2 linked regions of the Sus scrofa genome follow. The protein of the gene in region 1 interacts with the protein of each later gene in a pairwise test. Links are inferred from orthologs where the notes say so. Each region holds a gene or a part of one and is shown in the gene's direction. Other genes may lie near its edges.

Region 1 (7,211 bases):
GCCACTGTTAGTGGAGTGTGAACTGGTCCATATGCTTTACAGAAAAATTTAGTCATATCTAGTAAAGTTTAAGCTGTACAGATTCTATGAAATTCTACTTCTAGGTATCTATCTGCCTTGGAGAGGTGCTTACGTATATGCCAAGGAGGCCTGCCCAGCCCTGTCCATCACAGCACTGTGTATAATATAGAAAAATTGGAAACACCCTAAATGCCCATTAGCAGAAGAATGGATAAATAAATCATGGTATATTCAATGAAAGAGTATTCAGCAGTTAAAATTCACAAACTGTAGTTATATGAAACAGCATGGGTAAGTGAAAAAAAAGTTAGGAGAAAAAGAAAGTTTGCAAAAGAATGTGTACAGTATAACTCCATTTAAATACATATATATATATATATTTTTTTTTTTTTGTCTTTTTTCCAGGGCTGCACCCATGGCATATGGAGGGTCCCAGGCTAGGGGTCTAATCGGAGCTGTAGCCGCTGACCTACGCCACAGCCACAGCAACGCCAGATCCTTAACCCATTGAGTGAAGCCAAGGATTGAACCCGCAATCTCATTGTTCCTAGTAAGATTCGTTAACCACTGAGCTACAACGGGAACTCCAATTTAAATATATTTTTAAAACATACAAATCAGTACTTTGTTTGTGGATATATATATTTATGTAAAACTGTAAGACCATAAATAGAAGGGCTGTCTCTGAATCAAATGTGGCAAGAAATGAACAATTGTTGGATTTCAGCGGTGAGCACATGGATATTAATTTTAATGTTATTTTCTGTACTGTACTCTTTGCATCTTTAAAAGATTCCCTTTTTTTTCTTTTTAATGAGAGGATCTAGGCCTTTAGAAATAAGGGTCAAGGGGGATAAATGGCTGCATCATCCTCAGAGAAGACGATCTGCTGGGATGGGATTAGGACGGAGGCTGAGTCCTGGGTCCGGGGATTACAAGGATTAATTCAGATCATCCCCCTAAGCTGATCACCTGGCTGGGGTCCCCAGCATTCCTAGCCCTTCAAAGATACATCCTTGGACCACAGTCCACTTCCCCCCCTTTTACCTGCTAAGCCCTTTCCCTCGGCTTCCTATCTTTACTCTCACCCTCAACCCTGTACCGGTCTGGCCTAGTTTAACCACATTTGGGTCCCGAAAAAAGACTGGTTCTGGTCTCTCCTGAACACTCCCCAGATGAAGGGTGAATGGTGACCTGCACCTCTGGAGCCAGGGAGAGATTAGTCCTAATACTCCGGATCAGAGCTCCCCGAGGAAAGCTTGGACCCCCGGATGTTACAGTTGACAACTTCCTCCCTTCCATCAGCCAAGAGGTCAGCGCCCAAGGTCTACTGCTAACTGACCTTGGTAGTTCGGCCAGAACCAGGAGCTGCGCTGGGGCAGACCAGTCACTCTCCTTCTAGGATTAGACTTCATCATTCCCCAGAGCCCTACACAACACCAGCTCCTTTCCATCATCCCTGACAAACTGCCCTGCTCCCCAAGTCTGGACAGGCCTGATGTCTGCAGCAGATGTTCTGGGTGGGCTTGCTCGACAGCCTTTCTCCAGACTGGATCGCCTTGATCCCAGGCTCTGGAGGGGAGCTCAGTCCTCTGAGGAGCCAATGAAACATCTTGATCTGTGCTCACCATCTCTCGGAGCACATACCAGGCTGGAGGTATGAGAGGGAGGAAGGAGGGGAGGAGAGAGAGAGATTTATAGGCAACATTATTGGGTTTTTTTTTTTTTTTTTTTTTTTTTTTGCGTGTGTGTCTTTTGTCTTTTTAGGGCTGCACCTATGGCATATGGAGGTTCCCAGGGTAGGGGTCGAATCGGAATTGTTGCCACCAGCCTACGCCACAGCCACAGCAACGCCAGATCCCAGCTGCATCTTCGACCTACACCACAGCTCACGGCAATGCCGGATCCTTAACCCACTGAGCGAGCCCAGAGATTGAACCCACAACCTTATGGGTCCTAGCCGGATTCCTTTCCACTGCGCCACGACGGGAACTCCAATACTATTGTTAATAGGCAACACTGAACACCTTAAGTGTGGGATCATACGTTAAATGATAAGCAGAGCATTAATTAGGAGATTTAACTTCACTCATTTATTCTGTGTCAATGATTTAGATACTGGAGATACAAAAACGACTAAGGCAATTTCCTGGTCTTCCAAACACTGGGCTGACAGGAAAGTCAGAACATGACCTTGACAACCTAGAGTGACTGGTGCTGCTTAGAGGGAAGGGGGAGGGGTCGGAGCACAGCAGGAGCATCTAATGGCTTGGCTGGGTGGTGAGTCGGGAATGGCTGCCAAGAGATGACTCCCAGCTGAGTGTTTAAGGGTACGTAGGGGATGTCGAGGCAAAGAAGGGCTTCTCTCCTGAGGAATATGGAGGGCTTGTGAACTTGGGAGCCGGTGGGCGTGATCCAGACAGTATATGCCCATGACCTTGTAAGTGGATGCGCAAGAGAAGGGACTGTCCCTGGTTTAGGAATCTCCCAGTGATTTTCCAGATGTGCTGGAACCTCCGGGTTCCCAAGTGTACCCATTTCTTTCCTGGCTGAGACCTGCAGAGGCGTGAGCCCAATTGGTTCGCCAAAATCTGGCACTTGGAAGAAGTTCCTTGAAGGAGCGGTTGAGTGAAATAAGCTATCTGGGCTTTCACATCTCCCTTCTATGAGAGTGAAAATCGGCAGTGCCCACTCTAAACAGCTGCAGAGGCTAGGTGAGTAGGGGTTGTGGTTTGCAGACCACCGGGCCTGGGGCCCGGTGGGAAGGCAGGCAATGGAGAAAGGTCTTCGACACTAAGGGCTGCGTGGGGTCCCGGAGCGGCCCCTTCTAAGAAGGTCCCTGCTTGTGGCTTGGCGGAGGGCGCAAGGCCAACAGAGAGATCAAGGCCCGCAGTTGAAGTATCCTGGCTTCGGTTTCCCTCCTCCAGCCCTGGAGCAGCCCTGAGGCTGAGGCTGGCGGCCGGAGGGTCTGCGCTGACTGCCCAGGTGGAGGGTGCCGCTCAGCCGTGGGGAGCAAGGGGCGTGTGAGCATCCGCGCGTTTGGAGGAAACAGGCCAGGAGGATTTGGCTCTCCTGGTGCTTGCTTTTCCTTCCCCACCGCCGAGCAGGACCGGGCCCTGGCACTTGGCGCAGAGGGGTGCCCCCACGCAGCCGCCTCCCGGCAGGACCCACCGCCAGACCAGGGGAGCCGGTCGCTCCCTCGGCGCGGGCCTCGGGGCGTGTCTGGCGACGCGCTTGCACCGGGTCCGGGAGCTGGGGTGCAGGGCCGGCTTCCGGGCGGCGGCGGCGGCGGCGTCAGGTGGCCTGGCCAGGCCCCGCCCCCTCGGCCGGCCCGGCCTTCCTTCCCCTGCGCACCCGGCTCCGGTCCCCGGCCTGGCGGCGGCGGCGGCGGCGGCTGCTCCGGGCGGCGGCGGCGGCGCGAGCGGCCATGGAGGCGGGCGCCGGGGCCGGCGCGGGCGCCGCGGGCTGGAGCTGCCCGGGTCCAGGTCAGAGCGCCCCTCCCTCACTTCGCCACCGCCGCTCCTTCCTCTTCTCCATCTCTCCTCCCTCCAGACCCCCAGGTCCTCTCCCCCTCCGCTGCTCCCCACCTCTCCGTCCTAAGTCTTCCTCCTCCATCCTGCCCCCAGCCCGGGCTCCGGCTCCATCTTTCCGGGCTGGCTCTTCCCCACACCGGCCGCATCATCCCTGGCAGTCCCTCCCCTGAGCCCACTCCATCTGGTCTCTCCAGCCTGACGGTGCTTTTTGCCTTGGGGGCTCCAGACCCCGCACCTGCTCGGACCCTGAAGGCTTCGGAGCGCGGGGCGGAGTGGGGAGGACGAAGTCCAGTGAGAGCTGGAATGGACGGCAGCGGCCCCAGTCCAGACCCCCTTCCCGCACGCGTCCCCTCACCCCTTCCCCTTCCACCTCACCCTTTGAGCCTCTTCTCTTTGCTGGCTCCCGCCCTCTTCCATCCTTGCCTGTCCCCTCTGGGCTAAAGAGACACACACACGCCCTTTCTGTCTGTGCAAGGGAGAGGAGCACGGACTGGGGGGCAGAGAAGCTGGGCAGTGCAGGGCGGTGTCCCCGCAGGCCCGCTTGAGGGGCCACCTGGGGCGGAGAGTCGCAGCCCTGGGCAGACTGAGCCAAGTACTTCCACTGGGATGAAAAACCCCAGGGCTCCAAAGGGCTAGGAGGCATGTCCCCTCCCCTCCCCGCTGCACCCCAGCCCCCAGCCGCCCCTAGCATCCCACAGTGCCCCCTCTCTCCCTGCTTACAGGACCCACAGTGACCACTTTAGGCTCCTACGAGGTGTCTGACGGTTGTGAGAGGAAGAAAGGCCAACGCTGGGGGTCCCTGGAAAGGCGTGGAATGCAAGCCATGGAGGGTGAGTTTTCCCCAAAAGCTTTCTTTCCCTCCACCTCGTCCAGCTTCCCTCTCCTCCTTCCTCCCTCTGACCCCCAGAACTCTGAGCCAGGACACAGCCCTTCCCCAAGTTCAGCTCAGCCCCCTCCAACCCTCCTCAGGGCTCGGGCTTTGGGGAAAGTTCAGGGTACATCCCTTTGGGGTCCTAACCACCAGCTAACCAAGTTGTGTGTCCCCAGGGAGCTGCCAGAGAGAGAAAGAGGCCTCCTTGGACAGAGATTTGAAGCAGCTGTGCAGCAGGGGGTTTGTTCTCGCTGCCTCCCGACCCAGATCCCAAGCTGTCTCTTATTTTGAAAAGCCAGAGGAGTGAGCATGTGAATTGTCTTTCTGGTGTCACCACTAACTTCAAATGGAAGCCTTGTGACTTCGGTTCTCTAGGTTATCTTACTGCCTGAAAGAGGGAGCCTGGGAGAGGGGCCGGCGAGAAGGCCAAGCTCCCAACGCGCATCTCACCCTCGACACCCACACAGCTTGGCACTTGCTGCCTAAATGAGGCCCCTAGAAGGATGCTGGTCCTATTTCCAGGACTTTCTGTGTAGGGTCCCCAGGTCCCTATACACACGTCCACGCTCCAAGAGGGACGGATGAGACAAGGGGTCCCAGATAAACCTTAGGCTGTGATTATTAGACAAAGATGGACCAGAGATTGAGAATTTTAAAACAAAGCAAGCTCTTACCATCCAGGCAAGATTTTGCTATTGAGAGGAACTGCATTGCAGCAAAGGAGAGGGGTTGCTCACCAGCCAGAGGCTGGGGACCAGCACACCCCCATTTCTTAATGCATTAAAATGGCAGGCTTTCTTTTATTCACGAGGAGAATCCTTGACTTCCCCCCCAAAACTGCCTTATGGTCAGCAGGGGAAGGGGCCTCAGAACACTCAGGGAGAGGAGGGGAGACCTCCTGACACAGCAGAAAAGAAAGGTGGACCTGGCAGAAAATTTCCAAAGGGCTATTCGATAGAATGTATTTGAAAGGGGCCCCGTCTTTGTCCAGAAAAGCATTTAGAATCATTTCAGATGATTCTCTTTGGCTGTTCTCTTTCTCTACTGACTGACAGGCAACGCTTTCTTATTATGGAAGGGCTAATTTCTCACAAGCCACCTGGATCCTTGGTAAACTTAGTACAAACCCCCAAACTGTAATTCTTGTCCTGTTGGGCTTAAAGACACACCCGGTGTCTGACTCTTTCTTGACTACCCAGAGACGAGGCTGGAGGAAGCAGCTATCCTTGTGCGAGCCTCATGGGGCTCAGCCGGGCCCTTGGCTGCTCAGTGTGCCCAAAGGCAGTACTAGGAGGCCACCAGGTGCAGCACTGGTCCAGGAAGGGCCCGGGAGGGGGATGGGCTACCTCCAACCCCGACCCTCACACCTGAGGACTCGTCCCGTGTGCAGGTCCTGCCCAGAGGCTCCTTGGGGGACACCAGGTGGCACTATGATACCATCTCTGCCCTGGGACAGCATGCTAGAGGGCCCTGGAAGGACCAAGGACAGGAAGCTGGCTCTTACTCGCTGGGGGTGGGGGGTCTTTCCTAGGGGAAGTGTTACTCCCAGCCCTCTACGAGGAGGAAGAGGAGGAGGAAGAGGAAGAAGAGGGGGAAGAAGAGGATGATCAGGTGCAAAAGGGAGGAAGCGGGGGCTCCTTGTCCCTCAGTAAGCACCGGGGCCTGAGCCTCACGGAGACCGAACTGGAGGAGCTGAGGGCTCAGGTGCTGCAGCTGGTGGCAGAGCTGGAGGAGACCCGGGAACTGGCAGGGCAGCATGAGGATGACTCGCTGGAGCTGCAGGGTGAGTGCCTGTGACGGACCCCGAGGGCCGGGGCCCAAAGGCTCTGTGCTCCCTGGATCCCAGGCCTGACGCCAGCTCCCCCTTCACTGCAGGGCTCCTGGAGGATGAGCGGCTGGCCAGCGCCCAGCAGGCAGAGGTGTTCACCAAGCAGATCCAGCAGCTCCAAGGTAAATCCTGCACTCAGACTGGAGGGCCCGCCAAGTACTTTTGTCTTGAGGGCTTGGCGGAGGCACGCAGACCAATAGGACCGAAATCAGTACGTTCCCCTCATTTTCTTCTACTGTGCTTGCCCTGCTCCTATCTCTCCAGCCTCCTCTTTATTTATTAATTTTTATTTTATTTTATTTTTTGCTTTTTTAGGGCCATACCCGTGGCATATGGAGGGTCCCAGGCTAGGGGTCGAATCGGAGCTGTAGCTGCCAGCCTATGCCAGAGTCACAGCAACGTGGGATCCAACCCGCATCTGCGACCTACACCACAGCCCACAGCAACGCCGGATCCTTCAGTCTCCTGTTTAGCTCATTTCCTTTCTTCGTGCCTCTCCAACTGGCTCTTCTGTGCCCCCCCTTCTTGCCCTCCCATTTCACACCCCTTCCCTGCAGCTCTTTTTTCTCTCCTCAATCGCTCTTCTTCACACCTGCAGCCCTTTTTCTTTGTTTTTCTGGTCAGTGCCAGGTGTCGGTGGTCAGGGTTTAATTTCAGACCAGATTGCCTTGGCCTGGTCCTCCAAGGGCACCCTGGGAAGGCAGAGCAGCGAGCCAATGAGATGTGACTGGAGGGGCCGCTGTGCCTCTTTTAAAGGAAGCGGATGAGCTCGCGCCCCTCGCCCCTTGCCACCTAGGACTGAGCTGGTGGCCCCAGGAGCCCTTTCTTCTAACGCCCACATCCCTTTGTCTCTGGGAACCAGCAAGGCAGGCGTCCCACATTCCACTGCACCGCCAAATAAAGAGGCAGGTTTTGTTACATCTGTGGGCTTTTGGAAGGTTTCGGGGAGCTGCCCTAG
Region 2 (7,417 bases), on another chromosome or scaffold:
TGCGACAGCTGTGGCTCAGATTTGATTCCTGGCCTGGGAGCTCCCTATGCTGCCGGGCAGCCAAAAAAAATTTTTTTTAAATAAAATATTCTCTGCCTTCTCTACCCCCAGACTGATGCTGGGCTTTAGGACTAGAGAATTTAGCCAAGAGTTATTGCAATTTTCAGGGACTTGTAAGCAATAATTTCAACACCTCATCGCTAGTGATGTAACAGAACTCTCTCCACACCTAGGGAGCTAGGATGAACTGCAGAGCACTGCAAAGGCTCTTTGAAGTGGGTGGGCCCCAAAAGGTTTTGTTTTACTCAGAAGGGCATTTTGGAAGGTGGTGCTGACTGGGAAAAAAAAAAAAAAAAAGCACAACCTAAACGTTGAGAGTTGTTTTATTTGGCAGACAAAACTGAGTACTTAAGTCCAGGATGCAGCTTCTGAGAGACTGTTCTGAAGACGTAAGGGAGAAGCCAGGATCTATAATAGTTTTTTTCAACAAACAGCAGGTAAATTACTGTTAATTAAAGAAAACCTGAGGAGTTCCCATTATGGCTCAGAGGAAATGAATCTGACTAGCATCCATGAGGATGCAGGTTCGATCCCTGGCCCCAGTCAGTGGGTTAAGGATCCGGTGTTGCCGTGAGCTGTGGTGTAGGTTACAGACATGGCTCAGACCTGGCACTGCTGTAGCTGTGGTGTAGGCCAGCCAGCTACAGCTCCAATTCAGCCTCTAGCCTGGGAACCTCCGTTTGCCGAGGGTGTGGCCCTAAAAGACAAAAAGAAAAAGAAAAGAAACGAAAACCTGATACTTCAAGTTAAGGAATTTAGCAGTTTTCTGTGTATGGGAAGATGCAAGAGTCTGGGCTTATTTCCTTTGATATGCAACTCAGCTAACTGGGGCCACTATCAGGTGCTTTTTCATCCTGAGTCTCCTCAGGGTGCTCTATGGGCTTGGGCGGGAGGGTGACTGCAGCACAGACTGCTAGATGGCAGGCAATTTGTTTCTACCCTGAGTTCCCCCAGGGCTCACCTTTGGGCAGCTGTAATGTGATGGCTTGATGGCTGCAACATCCTTTGTTTACTGATATGGCAGGTAACATTTTTTTCATCGACAATGGTATGGCACCTGCAAAAACCTGGGAAATCCTGGAAACAGTAAAAGTATAGCTGGAACAAAAAAGGCAGAGGGGGACGAAACATTGTAAATCAACTACGCTTTAATAATTTTTTTTAAAAGGCCAAGGGGATGAGGAGGATTGACAGGAAATAAAAGCAAAACCATTTAGGCATTAAATTTCAAGCACAGGAGTTCCTGTTGTGGCTCAGAGGTAAAGAATCCAACTAGCATCCATGAGGACACAGGTTCGATCCCTGGCCTCACTCAGTGGGTTAAGAATCTGGCATTGCCATGAGTTGCAGCGTAGGTCACAGATGTGGCTCGGGTCTGGCGTTGCTATGGCTGTGGTGCAGGCTGGCAGCCACTGCTCTGATTAGACCCCTAGCCTGGGAACTTCCATATGCCGCAGGTGCAGCCCTTAAAAAAAAAAAAAAAAAAAAAAAAAATCCAAGCACATAGGTTGCTGTGTTTTATTCTGTTGTCTACAGACAAATGGAAAAAGAATTGTGATTTCACATTTTGAGAAAAGCTTGGCTATTTTTCCCCTTTAGCACCAGTGCAACTGGGACTTGGTAGGAGTGGGCCAAAGAAAAGGCTCAGGAATCTGCTGAAACCAAACTTCCCCTTACAGGGCCTCAGCACCTTCCAAAGAGGGACTCAAGGTGGAAATGGGGATGGGAAATTAAGTATTTACTTTTCCAAGTTACCTTGACTCACCCTCAAGGAAAGCGCATCATGGTGATTATTTCTTCCTGAGTAAGAAGCAGGGTAGTCCAGTAGTTGAGATGGGTGCCAGACTTCCTGGCTTTGAAACTGCTCTAATCAGTCAATAGCTATGTGACCTTGGACAATCACCTAACAGGTGTAAATTGAGAGTAACAAATACTACAGTATTTATCTGGAGTAGTTACTGGGAAAGCTAGCATTCAAAGAACTACTGTTATTAAAATTTTCTATAGGAATACGGAAATCGAGGCTCTGGGAATGAAAAGAATGCCCGGTCACATAACAAATTAGTGATGAAATTAGGACTGGAAGGAATACAGATCTGATGTCCAGCACCGTATTTTATCCCTCGTCCTCAGAGTTCCTAGATAGTCACAGATATCCTCAGCAGGAGGGAAGGACGGGGTTGAGGTGTGCGGGGAAAAAGCAGCCAGGCGCAAGGCTCTGGGAGCTGAATCATAACTTCTGCGTGATGGAAAGGAGGTTGACGTGAGTACCAGTGCAGAATGACTGGCTGCTTTCGGACCTCCTGGGTCTGGGCTCCAAGAACGAAAGCCCTGTTGCAGCTTGGGAGTCGGGATCAGCCCGGTGCATGGAGGGACATGTAGTCCTTTCTGTCCCTCCACCCCCCCACTCCGCCTTCCCAACTCACCCGCCTCAGAGGCCGCCTTCGCTTCAACTTTCCCAGCAAGCCCCGCGAGAGCGCGGGCTATTGATTGGCCGCGGCGCGAGCAGGCGGCTCTGCCGGCAGCAGTTACCCAGGGTTTCCGGTGAGAGGCCAGAGCAGGAGAAGCCGTCGGGACGTCGGCGGTGGGGTGCGTATTGCGTCGGTTAGGGGTACAAGGCAAGCAGAGGGCCCGGGGCCCGACGCCTTCGGACGGTTCAGGGAATTACGCCGATTCCGCACGAGGACTCGGGCTGGAGTGCAGGGGCCGAGGCCTGTGCGCATGCGCGGGCGGAGCGCGCGGCTGGAGGGCGCGCGGGGCGTGGGTGGCTGCGCGCGCGCGCGGGGGGGTGGGCACACGTGGGGCCTGGGGGGCGGGGAGGAACCGGGAATCCAGCGTCCCGCCACGTCAGTCCCTGGGCCTGAGCCTGTCCGGCGCACGGGCTGTGGTGAGAGGGCTGGGTTGTGCCGGGGAAGTAGCTTCGGGGAAAAAGGAGGCCTCCTCTCCCCTGCTGTTGGGCACACCAGACTTCCCTGACCGACCAGAGATAGGGAGCCCCACTGGCTCCCATCCGAGGAAGGCCGGTCGGTTTAAGAAGCTTTGCGGGTCCGGTGTGGAGATATCAGATCCAGGCTGCGAAGAATTGTTTAAAGTCTGGAAAATAGCAAGTGTATTTGTTTCTATAGGTTCTGCTCATAACCTAACGTTGCAAACAACAATGAAGAACCAAGACAAAAAGAATGGGGCTGCCAAGCAATCTGGCCACACTTCCAACCCCAAAAACACCCCGGGGCAACCGGAAGCAGGACCAGAGGGAGGCCAGGGGCGGCCCAGCCAGTCTGCTCCCACGACAGAAGCTGAAGGTTCCACCAGCCAGGCTCCAGGGAAGGCTGAGGGTGTGTGCCAGCTCTGCTTTTCCAATGGGCAGGGGGAGGAGTTTATGGTGCGTCAGTCTAGCTTCTGGGGTTAGAAGCCAAGGCCACTGTTTATCCAGAAGGGAGGAAATGTAGAATGAGGGGAGGACACCACTGAGTCCTTGAGTGCCCACTCTGCGCTGGGGAGTTGATAGAGCCTCCCACCCTAAGCACAGGGACAGAACTCTCCTGAGAGAAGCTTCTGACAGGATTAAGTCAGGTTGGCAGTCAAATGAGGCACCCAACCAGCAAATCAAAAACACCACTTTCAGCAGTGGGTAACTGCTATTCCTATTTGAGGCATTTCTGGAACTTTTTTTTTTTTTTCTTTTTTTTCTGTTTCTTAGGGCCCCACCCTAGGCATATGGAGGTGCCCAGGCTCAAGTCGAATTGGAGCTACAGCTGCCAGCCTGCACCACAGTCACAGCAACACAGGATCCCTCACCTACTAAGTGAGGCCAAGGGTCGAACCTGAGTCTTCATGAATACTAGTCAGATTCGTTTCTGCTGCACCACAACGGGAACTCTTGGAACTTTTTTAATAGCAAGAAGTGACATTTGCAGGTGGACTAGACCTTGAGTTCCTGCTACATGATGCCACCTCTGTGTTGGGTGGTCTCCTTACTTGATTTCTCTTATAACAAGCATGGTTGGGCAGAGGTGAGAAATAGTTTTATCAGTAATAAAACTGAGGTTTAAAGAAGTTAGGTAACATTTAACCCAAACTAGTAAGTTTGGGCCTGAAAAAATCCCAGCCAGTGGCATAATGGTCTTATTTCTGACTCTGCCCCTCATCCCTCCTGCTGCAGGAGCACAAGCCAAAACTGGGGCCCTCCGTGATGTCTCAGAGGAGTTGAGCCGCCAATTGGAAGACATCCTCAGTACATACTGTATAGACAACAATCAGGGGGGCCCAGGCGAAGATGGGGCACAGGGTGAGCCTGGTGAACCTGAAGATGCAGAGAAGTCCCGGACCTATGCCTCAAGGAATGGGGAGCCTGAGCCAGAGACCCCAGTAGTCAATGGTGAGAAGGAGCCCTCCAAGGGGGAGCCGGGCGCAGACGAGATCCGGGCAAGTGACGAGGTCGTAGACCGAGACCACCGAAGGCCCCAGGAAAAGAAGAAAGCCAAAGGTCTAGGTGAGCAGAGGGCAGCTGCTTATGAGGCTGGTGAGGGGAGGGAGTTTGAATCTGACATTCCTGGGTTAGCCTGCTGTGCCAGGATTTGGAGGAAACACTACTTCCAGAGCAGCTACTTACTTTTTGTTTTTGTTTTTTCTAATGTTTTTTTCATTCAGCGGGTTTATTACATTTATACCTGTACAACCATCATCACAACCTGATTTGAGAACATTTTCAACCTACATAGTTTAATGAGAGCAGGGGCTGCAGGACCATAGCATAGAGACGTGCAGGTTCACTGCACAAGGGCTTCTAGCCTGGGAGCAAGCGGGAACCGAAGTCTAACCTGCTCTCTTTGAGAAGATGGAAAGAAGGAGGCCTGAGTGGTCAGTCCTCTTCAGCCAGCACCACTTCTAACTTGCTGTGTGACCTTGGGCGAGACCTTTCTCCTCTCTGGTCCTTGGTTTTCACTTCTCTACACAATAAGAGAATTGGATTAGATGAGGTTGAAAACTCAAATAAAGCCAAGCTAGCCAGAGGCACCCATGAGGACCAAGAGAATGCCTGCTTTATTCAAAGGCTTGACTGCCACCTGGCCCCAGGTGAGACGATAGCATGGAAAACTACAGGCTAACTGTAGCTGGCATTTGTTTTTTGTTTTCTGTTTGGTTTTTTTTTTTTTTTTTTTTTTGTCTTTTGTCTTTTTGTTGTTGTTGTTGCTGCTATTTCTTGGGCCGCTCCCACGGCATATGGAGATTCCCAGGCTAGGGGTCGAATCGGAGCTGTAGCCACCGGCCTACGCCAGAGCCACAGCAACGGGGGATCCGAGCCGCGTCTGCAACCTACACCACAGCTCACGGCAACGCCGGATCGTTAACCCACTGAGCAAGGGCAGGGACCGAACCCGCAACCTCATGGTTCCTAGTCGGATTCGTTAACCACTGCGCCACGACGGTAACTCCTGGCATTTGTTTTTTAAGCCAGAAATCTAGGGTTATTATGTGACATCTCTAGATTTTTTACAGTTGGCAACTAATACACTAGAAGCCAAACATAACCCATCTGTGGGTTGTATTTGGCCTGTGTGCTAGTGATTTTCAGTCTGTGCATTGATTTCAGAGCCTCCCAAGGTTGACACTTCAGGAGCCTAGTGCTGTGCTATCTACGCTGATCCTCTTTTTTTTTTTTTTGGCTTTTTTGCTATTTCTTGGGCCGCTCCCACGGCATATGGAGGTTCCCATGCTAGGGGTTGAATCGGAGCTGTAGCCACCGGCCTACGCCAGAGCCACAGCAACGCGGGATCCGAGCCGCGTCTGCAACCTACACCACAGCTCACGGCAACGCCGGATCATTAACCCACTGAGCAAGGGCAGGGACCGAACCCGCAACCTCATGGTTCCTACTCGGATTCGTTAACCACTGCGCCACCACAGGAACTCCTGATCCTCTCTTTGACTCAGGCACAGCCTAAAGGGGAGTGACTTGGGTGCAGGTAGAGGGTTAGTGTGTGTTAAAGAATCAAAGCTAGGGAATTCCCATCTTGGCTCAGTGGTAACAAACCCAACTAGTAACCATGAGGACTTGGGTTCAATCCCTGTCCTCCCTCAGTGGGTTAAAGGATCCCGCATTGCCGTGAGCTGTGGTGTAGATTGCACATTCAGGCTCAGGACCTGTTGTTGCTGTGGCTGTGGTATAGGCCGGCGGCTACAAGTCCGATTCAGCCACTAGCCTGGGAACTTCCATGTGCTACAGGTATGGCCCTAAAAAAGCCAAGGAAAGAATCAAAGTTAGGAGACATTATACCCACATCTTGGTCCCTACTACCACAAGTCCCGACCCCCTACTTGTCATCCTAATTTAAAGAATATTTTTTTGGTTATTTTCATCATGGAATCAAGTATTGGAAGGTGTAGTCATTTTATTTTACTTATTTATTGGGGGAAGCTCACTATTGGCTACCCCTGTGGACGAGAGTTCAGTGTTCTCAAGGAGAACTATTCCTTTTTGCGTCCTTTTTCAGAAGGGTCTTTCTTGCATTGAAGCAGTGGTGCTGAATTCACAGGTGGGACGTCTTTCTTTCACCTGTAGGTAGAGCAGTTTTCCTGCTTCCACTCCTGGTTCTCTCCACAGAGGTTTCACAGGCAGTCATTCGTGTACCAAGTATTAGTTGAGCGCGTCCTCTGGGTTGGGCACTAGGGGCAGTACTGAGGCAGAACTGAGTTGATCCCGGCCCTCACAGAACACACAGACCAGCAGGGAAGGCAGCCAGGTCAGCCAAGAGAAACATAAAGCATGATAGGGAAGAGCTACCCCGAGGCCGAAGAGTGGGCCCAGGCCCGAAGGGGACCCCCAGAAAAGGGGGTACATGCCTTTGCTTGCTGCGCTTTGCAGGAAAGGAGATCACGTTACTGATGCAGACCTTGAACACGCTGAGTACCCCAGAGGAGAAGCTCGCGGCTCTGTGCAAGAAGTATGCTGAACTGGTCAGTTCTCCCCCTAGTCTGCACACCCTCCCTGCCTCGGGAGGCCAGCAGACAATGAGAACAGGGTTAATGACTGAGTCATGCTGTTTTTCCTATACAGTGCTGAATGGGCTGGTGGGAGCAGGGCTGAGCTGGGAGAGGACAGGGTCTGAGGAGGAGTTGAAGGACTGCGAGGCCAGGGAGCCAGAAGGATTATTTGTCAGTAATGAAAAGGCCAGCTTAATACTAGGAATCATATTGAGGAGAGAAATGGTGAACCAGCAGTGAAGTCTTGGAGCAATGAGACAGCCAGAGGGGTCTGTTAAGGGCACAAGGAGGGGTGGCAGGGCTCATCTGAGGGCACAGATGTCCTGAGAGTTGGGGGGACTGTTATTGTCTGAGTCTTGCAAATTCTGTTTCT

What was found. The genes of interacting proteins can lie anywhere in the genome.
Region 2: the proteins of CCDC136 (region 1) and TXLNA interact in binary tests that used the Homo sapiens proteins (3 or more experiments, as listed by UniProt). The two-hybrid records come from large-scale screens. The link is inferred for Sus scrofa from reciprocal best matches to the Homo sapiens genes CCDC136 and TXLNA.

What each region holds. Positions count from the first base shown.
Region 1 is NC_010460.4:19,819,929-19,827,139, reverse strand, and holds the start of CCDC136 (coiled-coil domain-containing protein 136), read left to right. Parts: upstream 1-3,402; 5' UTR 3,403-3,448; coding exon 3,449-3,506; intron 3,507-3,572; exon of another isoform or gene 3,573-3,845; intron 3,846-4,276; coding exon 4,277-4,384; intron 4,385-5,956; coding exon 5,957-6,208; intron 6,209-6,300; coding exon 6,301-6,375; intron 6,376-6,674; exon of another isoform or gene 6,675-7,158; intron 7,159-7,164; exon of another isoform or gene 7,165-7,211. UniProt on the Homo sapiens protein: May play a role in acrosome formation in spermatogenesis and in fertilization.
Region 2 is NC_010448.4:88,657,557-88,664,973, forward strand, and holds the start of TXLNA (alpha-taxilin), read left to right. Parts: upstream 1-2,494; 5' UTR 2,495-2,649; intron 2,650-2,880; exon of another isoform or gene 2,881-2,947; intron 2,948-3,185; 5' UTR 3,186-3,217; coding exon 3,218-3,395; intron 3,396-4,222; coding exon 4,223-4,552; intron 4,553-6,925; coding exon 6,926-7,017; intron 7,018-7,417. UniProt on the Homo sapiens protein: May be involved in intracellular vesicle traffic and potentially in calcium-dependent exocytosis in neuroendocrine cells.